Linked DNA regions of Canis lupus familiaris. The protein of the gene in region 1 binds, or shares a complex with, the protein of each later gene. Links are inferred from orthologs where the notes say so. Each region holds a gene or a part of one and is shown in the gene's direction. Other genes may lie near its edges.

Evidence for each region.
Region 2: EIF4A3 (region 1) and MAGOH share a complex: the UniProt entries of both Homo sapiens proteins name them as parts of the ALYREF/THOC4-EJC-RNA complex. The link is inferred for Canis lupus familiaris from reciprocal best matches to the Homo sapiens genes EIF4A3 and MAGOH.

Annotation. Positions count from the first base shown.
Region 1 is NC_049230.1:2,447,234-2,454,339, forward strand, and holds part of EIF4A3 (eukaryotic initiation factor 4A-III), read left to right. Parts: intron 1-102; coding exon 103-175; intron 176-762; coding exon 763-829; intron 830-1,264; coding exon 1,265-1,327; intron 1,328-1,900; coding exon 1,901-2,033; intron 2,034-2,228; coding exon 2,229-2,309; intron 2,310-3,975; coding exon 3,976-4,117; intron 4,118-4,497; coding exon 4,498-4,636; intron 4,637-5,412; coding exon 5,413-5,528; intron 5,529-7,106. UniProt on the Homo sapiens protein: ATP-dependent RNA helicase. Involved in pre-mRNA splicing as component of the spliceosome. Core component of the splicing-dependent multiprotein exon junction complex (EJC) deposited at splice junctions on mRNAs.
Region 2 is NC_049226.1:56,147,119-56,154,324, forward strand, and holds the start of MAGOH (protein mago nashi homolog), read left to right. Parts: upstream 1-3,322; 5' UTR 3,323-3,452; coding exon 3,453-3,540; intron 3,541-6,171; coding exon 6,172-6,230; intron 6,231-7,206. UniProt on the Homo sapiens protein: Required for pre-mRNA splicing as component of the spliceosome. Plays a redundant role with MAGOHB as core component of the exon junction complex (EJC) and in the nonsense-mediated decay (NMD) pathway.

The DNA of each region.
Region 1 (7,106 bases):
TGCGCTAAGAGGGGTGGACGTGGGGGCTTAAAAAAAGATACCATCTGTGTCCCAAGGAGCTGCCAGTGTCCTCATGTTAGAACTTTCGCTTTCTTTTTACAGGTTTTGAGAAACCATCAGCCATCCAGCAGCGAGCCATCAAGCAGATAATTAAAGGGAGAGACGTCATTGCTCAGTACGTCACCGGTAGAGAATGGGGTTAGGTGCTTGTCAGCTGAGTACAGCGCTTTGAGGGGACCCCTGTTCTCCCTTTCCACATATGTGTCAGTAGCCCTTTCCTCAGCTTGAGCCACGGTGTCTTGTTTTTTGTTTTTGTGTCCTTTAGAAAGCTGTCATATTCTTAGCCAGCTTCACTTACCTAGCAGCTGGCATGCAGAATGGTTTAGCATACTCTCTTAATGGCTTTATTCCTGATTTGTGTTAATTTTAAAGACTTCTTTACAAGAAAAATTATTTTTGGAGGACGGTTATAGTCCAAAATTGCAGAAGAGAATTACATTTCTATAAAAGGGAGCCTCTTTTTTTGGAGTCTGTAACACCCGTCAGGGTTATAGATCCTGCGGCTCCGACTCCCCTAGTGCAGAAGTTGCATCCTCCTGATCTTACCTTATTGCTCGTGACCCCACCCCGGGCAGTGGAGGAGGAAGCCGCTGTTCTGCAGCTGTCCTGCAGCTGTCCTTTGGAGCACTGCTGTGGTGGGGTGAGGTGAGTGGGAACACATAGCCCATCCTTTTTCACCTCTACCTGTGTTTTCTTGAACAGATCACAATCTGGCACAGGCAAAACTGCCACCTTCAGCATTTCTGTCCTCCAGTGTTTGGATATTCAGGTAATTTGCCAGTCTTCAAATGAACTTATCTTTAATCCTTGGAAATACTTTTGTTTCTTTTGTAACTGCAGTGTCTGAAAAGGACGGTTTTTAAAAATGTGTACTTAGTTGTACTGACTCAAATTTTTCATGATATTCTTAATTACACACTAATAGGAGAGCTAACTAATACTCTGTCCTAAGTTCCTTGTCAGCTAAATGGAGAGAGACATTTTTAGTGGGCATTCTTTTAGTGGCCAAGCAAGAATTCTGCCCAGTGAACCCCATGATGACTGGGTTCACACATGAACTTACATTCAGGTTCCTTTGTCTCTATTAGAAATGAGATGTATGGTTAATGCGATGTAACATTCAAGATAGATCTGCATCTGACTTCGTGCAGTCTGCCTTGAGAATACTGAGGATTCTCTGTTTTCTGACAAATTATTTTACCAGGTTCGTGAAACCCAGGCTTTGATCTTGGCTCCAACGAGAGAATTAGCTGTGCAGATCCAGAAGGTGAGCCACTGAGAGTTAGTGCTGTATTCCCAAGTGCTGCTTTCTGATTCAGGTGTAAAAGGTTGGCTGGTTGATTTAATCTAATCCTGTTTTTTTCCCTCAAATTTTACTTCCTGATTTTTGGCATAAATCATTGTTATGATTTATGTTGTTGGTTTATACTGAGTCATTTTTACTGAGTCATTTTTAGTGTAGCTGGTATGATTCCAGTATCTTTTTGCAGTCTCAGAATTGTAGTTTTTTTCAACAAAGAAATCATTTTAGTAGTTATTTTTGTACTTTATATTAAGATGTTGTTAGAATTGTTTGTGAGTGGCTAAAATTATGAGTTTTACGTATTTCCAGGGCTTTTTGTAATTAAAATGTATTTCTTTCATAAGAAACCAGTAAAGTGAACTTTATTTTGGCATGGAAGCAGGAGGTTGGGTCTTTTTGTAGTTTTATGGTGTAAACGATGGAATAAGTAGTACTTGGTATGTCGGAGTAGAGATTACCTTCACTTTGGGGAAACTTGGAGGTCTCTGACTTTGGTCCTGAGGTGAGGCCCCAGACGTGACCCTTGTTTTAATTCAGGGTCTGCTCGCTCTGGGGGACTACATGAATGTGCAGTGCCATGCCTGCATCGGGGGCACCAATGTGGGAGAGGACATCAGGAAGCTGGACTACGGGCAGCACGTTGTTGCTGGCACACCTGGACGTGTCTTTGGTAAGTGCTTGGGGCGTTACAAGAAGTGCTTGAAGGACCCAGGACCGTTTCCATTTGCTGTGCTGTGTGGTAGCGCTTGCGTGCAAGTGATGTAAGAAGTAGGCAAGAGGCCTCAGAAATGCTCTGAAAACCAGGGGGAATGGCTGGCTGTTTCCTCGTGGTCCGAGGTCTAAGGATATCAAACTGATTCCACAGATATGATTCGGCGCAGGAGTTTGAGGACACGGGCCATCAAGATGTTGGTGTTGGATGAGGCTGATGAAATGTTAAATAAAGGTAGGAGTCACGAAAGCAGAGATTTTCTCTTGACTTTAATGTTAACACGTTCACATCGTGGAGCTGAAACATGGAGCTAACGCCAGTGTTCTCGGTGCTAGCAGATGCCCTCGTGCTCTCCGGGCAGCTGTGAACGTGAAGCTTGTACTTGGCTCTTGGGGAGCTGAGAGCAGTCACGGCCAGAACCACAGCATCTCCGCCCAGACTGGCGCAGCATTGCTCCCACATGTCTGGAGCTCAGCATAGATGGGGAGGTGTGCGGCTGAGATGAGGCGTGTAGAAATGCCTACTGTGGGTTGTGGGGGGCACAACGGTGTGTCAGGGAAGCTAGATTTATGGCAACGGGGCGTCCCATTGTCTAGAGACTGTCATTTATTTAACTAGTTGTCCTGTTAGTTGTCTAGGCTGATTTTACTCTTTTACCAGTTAATAGGATAAATTTCTAGACTGGGACGTGTACTTTCTAGGCTTTTCATGTTGTTTCTACCTGAGTGTCTGAGGACAGATCTGTGATGCCTCTCTGTGTGGCAGCTGTGGCGTTAGTCCAGCGGTGAGGAAATACATCGTGAAGATGTACCTTGAGCCCGGGGCATTGTTACGTGCAGCGACAGGCAGTGCTCCCTCGTGTCTCCCCGCTTGTCCTTTCTGCACACGCCCTCCCCTTCGGTCTCCACATCATACTGGGGGGTATGGGGTGTCTCATAGACATCGGGGTCATCCAGGTGGAGGGAGTGCTTGCCTCTCAGTGCTCATCTGCTGCACGGGTGGGACCCTCAATGGTTCTGATGTCCAGGTCCCTGGAGGCTGATGCTGTCCTGAGGGCTGCCCCCCCGCCCCTCCAGCCCAGGGCTTCTCACCTGAAGACTTTGCTCCTCAGCTGAGAGAGAGGCATAGTGACTGGGGCACTCAGGTGGCTTCCTTAGTGTCTGAGGAAGCCATGGCTTGCTGGTGGCTCCTGTGCACCTGTCCCATGGGCAGCAGTTCTCAGAGTGAGGTCTCCAGACCACCAGGGTTCACGTTATCTGGGAATTTGTTAGAAATGCAGATCTTGGGCTCTGATGTTTGGTTACAACCTCAGTCTGTGAATGGGCTCTCTTGGAGGCTGGGGACCCCCTTGTCTGGGCTTTCTCACACATACTTCCTGGCCCTGTCCTGCCCAGTCAGGCAGAGATGGGGGTGGGGTGAGTGACCTGTGGGCCAGGTCCCAACGATGGAGGTATAATTGACACGTGATGCATTAGTTTCTAGTACACAACTGTAATGATTCCGTATATACATATAGAAGATTTTTTTAACTGGAAGATTGTTTTATAAAAATCCAGATCCCTGGATTCTCTTAAATGTGGGTGATCTTTCCTCAGCGGACAGATCCTCACAGGGTGGCAGGAGCTGGGACTGGGGTCCTGACTGCCAAGAGGCAGCCGAGGTCGTGGGATGACCCAGGGCTGGGGTTCTTTTGCTCTTAAGCATTGGCACCCAGGCCTCCGGGTGGGGCTGTGATCCCCAGAGCCCACCTGGGAGGGGAGGGGTGAGGAGCGGCAGAGAAGTGGGGCACGTGGATTTCCTGGTTCTGTGGAAGATTCCTGGGGAAACCTCACACCTCACAGTCGTCACTTCTGTGTCCAAGTGCAACCTTCAGACTCCCTGTGCCTCCTTCTGTGTCCAGGTTTCAAGGAGCAGATTTACGATGTGTACAGGTACTTGCCCCCGGCCACGCAGGTGGTGCTTATCAGTGCCACACTGCCTCACGAAATCCTGGAGATGACCAACAAGTTCATGACAGACCCCATCCGCATCTTGGTGAAGCGGTAAGAACACCCTGCTTCTGGGTGGTACAAAAACAGCCACGTAGCTTGTATTTAAGCTTAAAACATGAAAATTCTTTGTTTTCTGGTTTGAGAAACCAGCTTACATATGTGTATTGCCCCTTGGCCCAGTAATTCGAAATTTATACACCACCTGATGGTGTTTGTCCGTCTGTGTTGTGGGGGTAAAATACATAAAACAGGGGCTACCTAGTGGCTGTTAAAGGCTCAGACAGGTCAGCATGTGGCCCGAATGGCGGGAGTGCTGACGGCCGGGAGCGGCGGGGGCCGCCGTGGGCCAGGCTAGGAGCAGTGCTCGGCTTGTGTGCGCCCTCAGGTCTCGGTGAGCGGATGAGTTCACAGCACTTGTCTGTATCTTCCAGTGATGAATTGACTCTAGAAGGCATCAAGCAGTTTTTTGTGGCGGTGGAGAGGGAAGAGTGGAAATTTGACACACTGTGTGACCTCTACGACACGCTGACCATCACTCAGGCTGTCATCTTCTGTAACACCAAAAGGAAGGTAAAGCAGTAGCTGTCTTGGCTGTTCAGTGTCCTTTTGGGCAAAACCGAAGGTTGGTTCTCAGAACGCAAGTCAGCCCTGCTCTGTAAAGGCTCAGAAGTGAACAGTCGGATGTATCCAGTGAAACCGAACAAGTGTTGATGCTGGTCTCATGACTGAGGCTTGGGAGTCCGTGGTTTTATTTATTTATTTTTTTAAAGATTTTATTTATTTATTCATGAGAAACAGAGAGGGAGAGGCAGAGACACAGGCAGAGGGAGAAGCAGGCTCCGTGCAGGGAGCCTGACGTGGGACTCGATACTGGATCTCCAGGATCACACCCTAGGCTGAAGGCGGCGTTAAACCGCTGAGCCACCATGGCTGCCCTAAGTGAGGAGGAGGGAGTCCATGGTTTTAGGTGGGACCCAGGCTTCGGTTTTTGTGGGCGCCCAAGTGATGATCATCTGCAGGCAGAGTGGAGAACCCTGGCAGCTCCTTCGAAACCAGAGGGGGAGTTGGGCTGCCTTCCAAGAGATTCAAATTTAAATTTAAAATGAGAACAGTGAGAGGTTTTTTTTTTTTTTTCTTTTGAGAAATTTATATGGAACAAATAGGAGTTTTGCCCCGATGTGTGCTAGGAAAGTTAAGTTTTCTGCACGTCTAATAAAGATTCGTCTGAATTTTAAGAGCACTTGCTCTCAGTGTTCACACTGGTTCTGCAGGTGATCACGATAAAGTCCAGAACAGTCTGGTTTGGTTTCTGAGCTGACGGTGGCATCTGCTGATTTGATGTGCAGGTCGACTGGCTGACAGAGAAGATGAGAGAAGCCAATTTCACGGTGTCGTCCATGCACGGGGACATGCCGCAGAAAGAGCGCGAGTCCATCATGAAGGAGTTCCGGTCTGGTGCCAGGTGGGCCAGCTCCTCTGTCTGCACCCAGTCCCGCTGGTGGTGTTGCTCGGGCCCTCTGTCCGCATGCCTTGCCGGGTCCCCCCATGGCCCCAGGCCCTGCCTTCCCAGCTGAGGTGGGAACTGCTGCTGGTGCCCTAAGCTGGGTTAAGTGGTGGCAGCCTCTCCTGGCTAGGATGGTCGCCTTACCTAAAGGGTGTTTCTTTGTTGCCTGAATGAGGAGATTGTTCGCTCAACTTGCCATGATCTTTAACTCAATCCCACTGTGGTCAGAGGACGTGCATTGATGACTTGTATTTGGATATGCTCAGTGGCCCAGCACATGCTTATCTTTCATATGCTGCGAGTGTGTGTCTGCGGGCCGAGTGCCTTACGGAGGCCACACACCGCGTCCTGTGCCTGCCCCGGAGGTGCAGATGGTCTGCATCCTTGCCTGTGTTTCTCTTAACCGTCTCCTCAGAATTGGGGGCACCATGGGTGCAGCACTTGGAGGCTCAGTGTGCTCTTGCTGGATGTGTCCTAAGGTCGGGTCTGTGGATTCAGAACTCCTCTGTTTACGGAGGAGCTGTTCTTGTCACGGAAGCGTCTGTGTCTCCGTGGGGGTGCTTTCTCCGTCCTGCTGTGATGCACCCACAGCGGCCACATCAGGTGGTCCCCTTGGGGCACCCTCACGACCTTGGCCTTCTGTTTGTGGCCCGAAGCTGTGGTGGACTTGGTGCACAGAGCACATAGTGTGTTTCTGTTTGGGTTTTCTTGTAGTCTAGTGGTGACCACAGCCTTTGTATCAGAGCCACTGGTCTGGTTTTGTTAATGTTGACACTGGTACGTATAATTTTATTTATTTATTTATTTTATTTATTTATTTTTTTTTAATTTATTTATTTATGATAGTCACAGAGAGAGAGAGAGAGGCAGAGACATAGGCAGAGGGAGAAGCAGGCTCCATGCAGGGAGCCTGATGCGGGACTCGATCCCAGGACTTGAGCCAGAGGCAGGTAGGTGCTCAACCACTGAGCCACCCAGGCATCCCACTTTTTTTGTTTATTTGGGATTTCTTCTTGGTATTCCTTTTTCCCAGTTCTTATTTTGGAAAACGTCTGTACTGTCGTTAGTTGAGTAGCCTTCTTAGAGAACAAAGCGCATGTGTCCATCATCAGCACCTGTCGTGATGGGCACTGGGGCCGTTGTCCTGCCTGCCAGGCTGGGAGCTCTGACTTTGCTGACCTGCCCTTCTGTGGAAACTCCACAAGAGATCTTTGCTGTGTGACAAAATTATTTACTCAGTTACATATTTACCATTTGATTCTCTTTTCCTTTGTCTCTGACCTCCATTGGGGGTGGGTTTCCTTCTTCCTGAAGAAGTCTTCCTGTATTTAATTCGGGGCTGCCAGTGACAAGATGTCTGGAAGTGTTTGTTTCACCTTGAAATGCCTCCTTCCGACATCTCGAGGGAGGTATTTGCTGAGAGATTTCTAGGTTTGCTGTTGTTTCCGTTGGGAGGTCCCTGCGGTCCCCCTGCTGCCCGCTGAATGGTCTCTTTTGCTGTCTCTCCCCAGCTTCTACCCTGATGAGTATCCGTGT
Region 2 (7,206 bases), on another chromosome or scaffold:
TTTATTTTTTCTTTTTTTTTTTTTCTTTTTTTTTTAATTTTTATTTATTTACTTATGATAGAGAGAGAGAGAGAGAGAGAGGCAGAGACACAGGCAGAGGGAGAAGCAGGCTCCATGCATCGGGAGCCTGATATGGGATTCGATCCCGGGTCTCCAGGATCACGCCCTGGGCCAAAGGCAGGCGCCAAACCGCTGCGCCACCCAGGGATCCCTACAATTTTTTTTTAAAGATTTTATTTTTTCTTTATCCATGACAGACACAGAGAGAGGCAGAGACACGAGCAGAGGGGGAAGCAGGCTCCAGGCAGGGAGACCGACGCAGGACTCGATCCTGGGCCTCCAGGATCACGCCCTGGGCCGAAGGCGGCGCTAAACGTTTACCCTGAGCCACTCCGGGTATCCCTTGATTACAAATCTTACAGTTTCAGTCTTTCTCTTCCTTGACCTGGAAGCAGTATCTAACACCGTTGGCACACCTTAGAGTACTCTTATTTTGGCGCACATGACACCATATTCCTGGTTTTTCCTTACCTCTCCGGCCACATCTTAATCTCCTTTGCCCACCCCTTACGAATCCATCCACGTTTATCATCTCCATTACCATTATCTTGGGTGATCATCATTATTAGCAACTTCCTACCAATATTGCAGCTAGAGTGATTTTTTTTCTAGAAGGCAAGAGGTCACGTCACCACCAGCCTTTCTATTGTCCTGCTTAAAGTTCTTCATCTGTTTCCCTTGCGTTAAAATCCAATACCTTTGAGTTTTGGCCCATATTCTAGTTTAATATGCCTTGTAAGCCATTTGGTTTCTGTCCCTTCTCCAACTTCATTACTATATTCACAACTTCATTCTGTATTCCAACCACACAGTTCTGGGCCCTCTATCTGGAACATTTCCTTCAGGAAGACTTCCCTTAGGCCCCTAGATTGGATTAGGAGCCATCCCATGTGCTTCCATAGTAGTCTGTGCTTCCTCTATTTGTAACCGTTGCTTCTACATTATAATTGCTTGTATGCTCAACTGCTTCCTCTGCAAGTTCTATAAAGGTCTGTCTTGTTCACCATTGTATTATTCCCAGCACATAACAATAAGTGCACAGACCATGTTCTTTCAGCTATACCATGTTGTCTCATGCCCCCAAACCTGGATCCAGTCTGACTGGTGTCCAGTTCCTTTAAGTTTTCTCAAAACGTTTGATATTTGCCACATCTGCAGATGCCCAGATTCAACAGTTAACAGTATAATTTTTATAAGTTCACTCTTGGAAAATAACTTCGTGGTAATTACCTGATGAATCTATATACTTAATTGAATTACCGCCTCAAGACTGTTGTGAGGATTCAAAGAATAAGCATTTGTAAATGGATTCACATTTATTAGGTGCTTAATACCTCGTGGTTCCCTTCTCTTTTTCATACAATTCCCTTGTTACCACCCATATCCCATGCTTTCTTTTTTTAAAGATTTATTCATTTATTAGAGGGGGAGGGGCAGCAGGAAAGGGAGAGAGAGGGAATCCCAAGTGGACTCCCTGCTTGGGAGGAGGGGGAGGGCCCAACATAGGGTTTGATCCCGGGACCTCAAGATCATGACCTGAGCCAAAATCAAGAGTCTAATGCTCAACCAACTGAGCCAGTCAGGTGTCCCCCAGTGTGTGTGTGTGTGTGTGTGTGTTTAAATAAAACACCCTATAGTTTTATAGCAATTTACAGTTGGCAAAGTATTTTTCCAATTTCCAAGATTTTGTTTTCTATTCTTACAACAGTCCTGCCAGATGTATAACATTATTTTTCTCATTTTATTTTTTATTATTATTTTTAAAGACTTTATGAGAGACAGAGAGAGAGAGAGAGGCAGAGACACAGGCAGAGGGAGAAGTAGGCTCCATGCAGGGAACCCGATGCGGGACTCGATCCCGGGACTCCAGGATCATGCCCTGAGCCAAAAGCAGACAGACGCTCAACCACTGAGCCACCCAGGCGTCCCTCATTTTATTTTTTATTTTTATTTTATTTTTTTGTCCCTCATTTTAAAGATAAACTTGAGTGAACCTCGAGATTCACTGATCCTAGGAGAGGAAGGGACTGATGACTGTGGCGTGGAAGGTTAGTTCACACCTTCGATCATAGCGAATCAAATCACACAAGGATTATTTTAACACAAGCTTCCAGTGATTTTCCCTCTTCACACCCACTCTACACCAGTTATTTTTGGGGGGAAGAAAAGGAGTAATGCTAAGACTGGGAATGAGAATCAAGAGGCCACTGACCTCAATGAAGAACAGTATACAATTACAGTGGTCAGGCCCCCAGAATGATGCCATCTTAGCACGGTCTCTAGACCTGATTTCACAATTCCCTGCTCTCACTGGAACTTCCACGAACTAATGCAGTTTCCTAATAATTAGGGTTTTGACTGTCCTTTGCCTACTCAAGGAGGAAAATTTTCCACAGCCTGAAAGACTTCACAGAGGTCAACCAATTTGGCCTGAAAGGACAAGGGGCTCTTGGGCATCAGTCCTGCCCCGTTGTTCATCTGGGGCGGGGGGGGGGGGGCGGGGGGGGTTTGCAAAAAAGTACCAACGCCCAGGTTCAGGGCGGCGAGAGAACCTGATTGTCTGGTTTGGGGTGGGGCCCAAGCATCAGTATTTTTAAGATGCTCCCGAATGACTCCGTTGTGCAGCCAGGTCGGAGAATCCCTGCCGGGTAAGCAGAGCCTAGAAAACGAGAAGGGGAAATTCCATATCCAGTTTAACCTCTACCCGCAGCACCTGCTCTAGAGACCAGTTAAGTAGAAAGGGAAAGGTAGGAATTAAAAAAAAAAAAAAAAGTAAAAGTAAAAGGGATAAAAGGGAGAGGTCAGTTCCAGGGAAACGGCAGCGGCACCACGGATTCAGGAAAGGCGTCTGTGGGGAGCGTTTCCGTGAGCAAAGTTCGGCCGGAGCCAACTTCTGACCCACGCGCCAGCGCGTGCGGCGGTCCGTGGGGTCAGCTCCTTCATCACCGACGGTGAACAGCTGTCTCGGGCTCGCCCACGTTGGGCCCACGCACACGGAGGTCGAGCCTGGGGCGCAGCCCTCGCGGAGCTCAGCCGGACGTCGTGAAGCAGGGTCCCCAGACCCGCCGCCCAAGCCCGGGCGCCCTCGCGTCGCCTGCGGCCTCGAGCCTCGGGAAACCCGGGGGCGACCCGTGGCCGCGCTCCCGCCGGCGGCCGAGGGGGCGGGGCTGCGCTGACCCCGCCTCCGGGCGACGGGGCTCTGGTTTCCGCCGGGGGATGCGCCAGACTTGCCGCCACTTCCGGGAACGCAGACGGCCTGGGCCGCTTCGCAGCGACCGGCAGCCTCGCCTTGACGTCACATCCGCGCGCCCCGGTAAACGTCAGTGTTGGGCGCACAGCGCGGCGACGAGGTTTGCTGGTCAAGTTTCGTCTCCGTTGCCTCCTTATGAACCATGGAGAGTGACTTTTATCTGCGTTACTACGTGGGTCACAAGGGCAAGTTCGGCCATGAGTTCCTGGAGTTTGAGTTCCGGCCCGACGGTAAGAGCGGCCTCTGGCCCCGGCCGAGCGAGGACGGGGCCTGGGGTCGGGCGAGCGGGGAGGCCCGGGCTCCGGAATGTGCGAGGAGGAGCTAGGAGAGGACGGGACTGATGACTGCGGCGCGGATCTGAAAGGGCCACTCCTGTGACCGCTCCGCTGGTTCTTCCCATGTGCACGAACTTTTTTTTTTTTTTTTTTTTTTTTAACTAGAATGCTTCATTCAGCAGACACTGATTGCATACTTTGTGCCAGGCTCTCTTTCACAATTTGGGACAAGTTTCCTCTCATAGCGTATATATTCTGGTGCTGGGAGAGATATAAACAAACAAAGATTTCAGATAATGACGAGTGGTCAGAGCATGAAACAAAACGATGGAGTAATTGCTAAAAAGTGGACTGCTTTTAAGCAGAGTGGCCACTGGCGTGCTCTCTGGAAAGGTAGTATTTGAACTGAATCCTAAGTGACAAGAAGGAGAGCCAGCTTTGTGAAGCTCGGGAAGAAGGGCATTTTGGACAGAGGGAGTAACAAGTGTTAAGGCTTTGGGGCATGAACGAGCATGTTCCAAGTGGCCAGTATGGCTGAGGAAGTAGTGAGCTCCGAGGAGAATAGTAGGAGACAATGTCAGATAAGCAGGGGTACACCATGTAGGTCTTTACAGGCCATGGTGGAGAGTTTGGATTTTATTCTAAGTGCAGCAGGAAGCAACTGGAAAGTTTTAAGGAGAGAAGAGATGTGATCTCTTCCTGAAAAAGTATTCTAATCATGGAGTATGATTAGAAATAGAGTAATGATTAGAAAAAGTAATCTATTCTAATCATTGCAAGAGTGGAGACAGGGCAACTTATTAGGAGACAGTGAACAGTTGTCAAGGTAAAAAGGATGCTGGTTGGGACTAAGGTACTATCAAAAGCGCATAGAAGGGTTCAGGATACTGTTGGAGGCAGAACCAATAGGACGTTGCTGTTTGATAAGATCTGGGGGAAGGACCACTGTGGGGAGGAAAAGGAATCAAAGATGACAAAAATAAAAAATAAAAAACCTCCCACTAAATGGGGGCACAAAGATGAATCTGACAAGCCCCAGTTGTAAACAAACAATGATAGGATAGTGTGTTTGATGCTGTGGTACAAAGAAACGGAAGGGACTCTGGAGCAGAAAGAAGGCAACCTAACCTAACCCTCAGGTAGCCTGAGGATGGGAGAAAGCTTCCTGCATAAAATGACTTGGGGGAAGAGGAGTGATAGTCTTAGTAATGTGCAGGAGTTGGTTAGGCATTTGGACATCAACATCAAAGAAGCTGAAAACCAAAAAGTGCATGGGATGTTTCAAGCAGAAACCAAGTAAGGTGGTTAACTCCAGCTGTGTAAGAGTGGACTATTGCAGGAGGGAGCCTGAAAGGCAGGCAGGGGCTCAGCTTAGCAGTTATGCCATGTTGAAGAATTTGGATTTTTATCAAGAAGGCAGTGAGAAGGGATCCCTGGGTGGTGCCAGCAGTTTAGCGCCTGCCTTTGGCCCAGGGCACTATCCTGGAGACCCGAGATCGAGTCCCATGTCAGGCTCCCAGTGCATGGAGCCTGCTTCTCCCTCTGCCTGTGTCTCTGCCTCTCTCTCTCTGTGTGACTATCATAAATAAATAAAAATTAAAAAAAAAAAAAAAAGAAGGCAGTGAGAAGCTATTGTCATTATCAAAGTGTTAGAGTAACCTGGGGCACCTGGGTGGTTAAGTAGTTGAGCGTCTGCCTTTGGCTCAGGTCATGGTCCTGGGGGCCTGGAATCGAGACCTGCATTGGGCTCCCTGAAGGAGAGCCTGCTTCTCCCTCTGCCTATGTCTCTGTCTCTCTCTCTGCATCTGTCATGAATTAATAAAATCTTACCAAAAAAAAAAAGTATTAGAGTAACCTAATTAGATTGGTCTGTTACTACATCACTTTGTCTACCGTATGGAGAATGAACTGAACCAAGAGAGACAAGGCAGAGATAGTGAGTGCAGTGAGGCATCAATTAATCTGGCTCTTTTTACATGTGTAATCCCAAAGGTAAAAATTCATCTATTTCCTTTTCTCTTCTTTTCCTTCATATCTAGCATATAGCCTTTTGGATGCATATACACACAAAAGGCCTTGTATACCAAATATGCTTAATAATAAAACCAAAACTTTTCCACCATAGGAATAGATCAGAGTATTGCATGGTCACATGAATAATATGTAAACAGCATTTTACAATTTTCAAACTGCTTTCACAATTCATCTGAGCCTCAGGAGGCCTTATGTGCAAGTAAGTTACCATCACTATCCCTGTTTTCAGCTGAGGACATTAACCTGCAGAGATATGATTTGCCAGAGTCACAATGTTCTGCTTATGTTCTTTTATCACACCTGAGCTGCCTTTTGCAAGAATTATAATTCAATGTCAGCAATATTCTGGCTTTGAAGCTACTTAATAGCCGAAAATAAAGAACTGAAAGACTGCTATTGTTGGAACATCAGAAGTTTGAATAGTAAATCTGGTAGACGCTGAGGGGAAAGCTAGGATACATTTTAAGCAACAGCTGATAGTCTTGGTGAGCTAATGAAGCTTTATTTATACGTTTTTAATATACACTGAATTTGTTTTTTCGCTCCTCACAGGGAAATTGAGATATGCCAACAACAGCAATTACAAAAATGATGTCATGATCAGAAAAGAGGTAATGAGCCTTCTGAGAGCCTTTCTTTCACTACAATTTAGCCTTTTGTCATGTTTTTGTTCTTTCTGGGAGTAAGTAGTATTGAAAAAGAATAGAGAAGTATAGACATATCTATAGACACCTTCTAAAATTTTTCTCACATCTTTTAGTTTATATTTTCTTTTACAATGTTAAACCACTTTTGTAATCATTTAAAGTCTTGCAAATCTTGGTTTAAACCCTGAATCTGCTATTTACTCTATGCCCCTGGGCAAATAACCTGGCTTGATAAGTTTTAGTTTCTTTGTCTGCAGAAACAGATATAATTAACCTGCCCCCCCCCCCCCCCCCAGTGCTATCACAGAATTAAATACATTATACCTAAAGTGTTTTGTGTATTTCCTGGTGCATAGCTTTCAGAAGAGCTCTTTAATTTGCATTTGGATGGGGGAAAGGGAACATGGGAAAGCAGTTCACATCATTGAATGCAGGTTAGATGCCAGGCTTGGCACTTGGTGTTTTACATATGATTTTATTTCACCCTGATTGTAAGCCTTTTTGATTAGCGGTATTATATACCCTTTACAATGAAGGCCCAGATGTTAATTATGGGGCTTGTTCAAAGTCACCTCATCCTGACGAGCAAGAGATAGAGTGGGAATTCAAAGCTATGCCTGCCTCTGTCAAGTCCATGTGCTCTATTTTGCTTAATTTCTGCCTCACTATTGAGGCTTCATCAAAGCTTCTCTTTCCTTTTAACCACTTTGTCACATTTGAAAATGTCTTAACAGTTACTATATCTTCATACTGTTATGTTTAACTAGCATTCAGTTTTATGTTTACCCACATGTCTCAGCCTGCTTATATACATATATATTTTATGTGTGGACTGATATACAAAATGTATTTTAAAAGATGTGTCTCTGGTCTTCATAAGCATGTCATCTCGGTAGGAATAACCAGGGTTCACTCACAGATCTTTTGTTCTGGGTTCAGG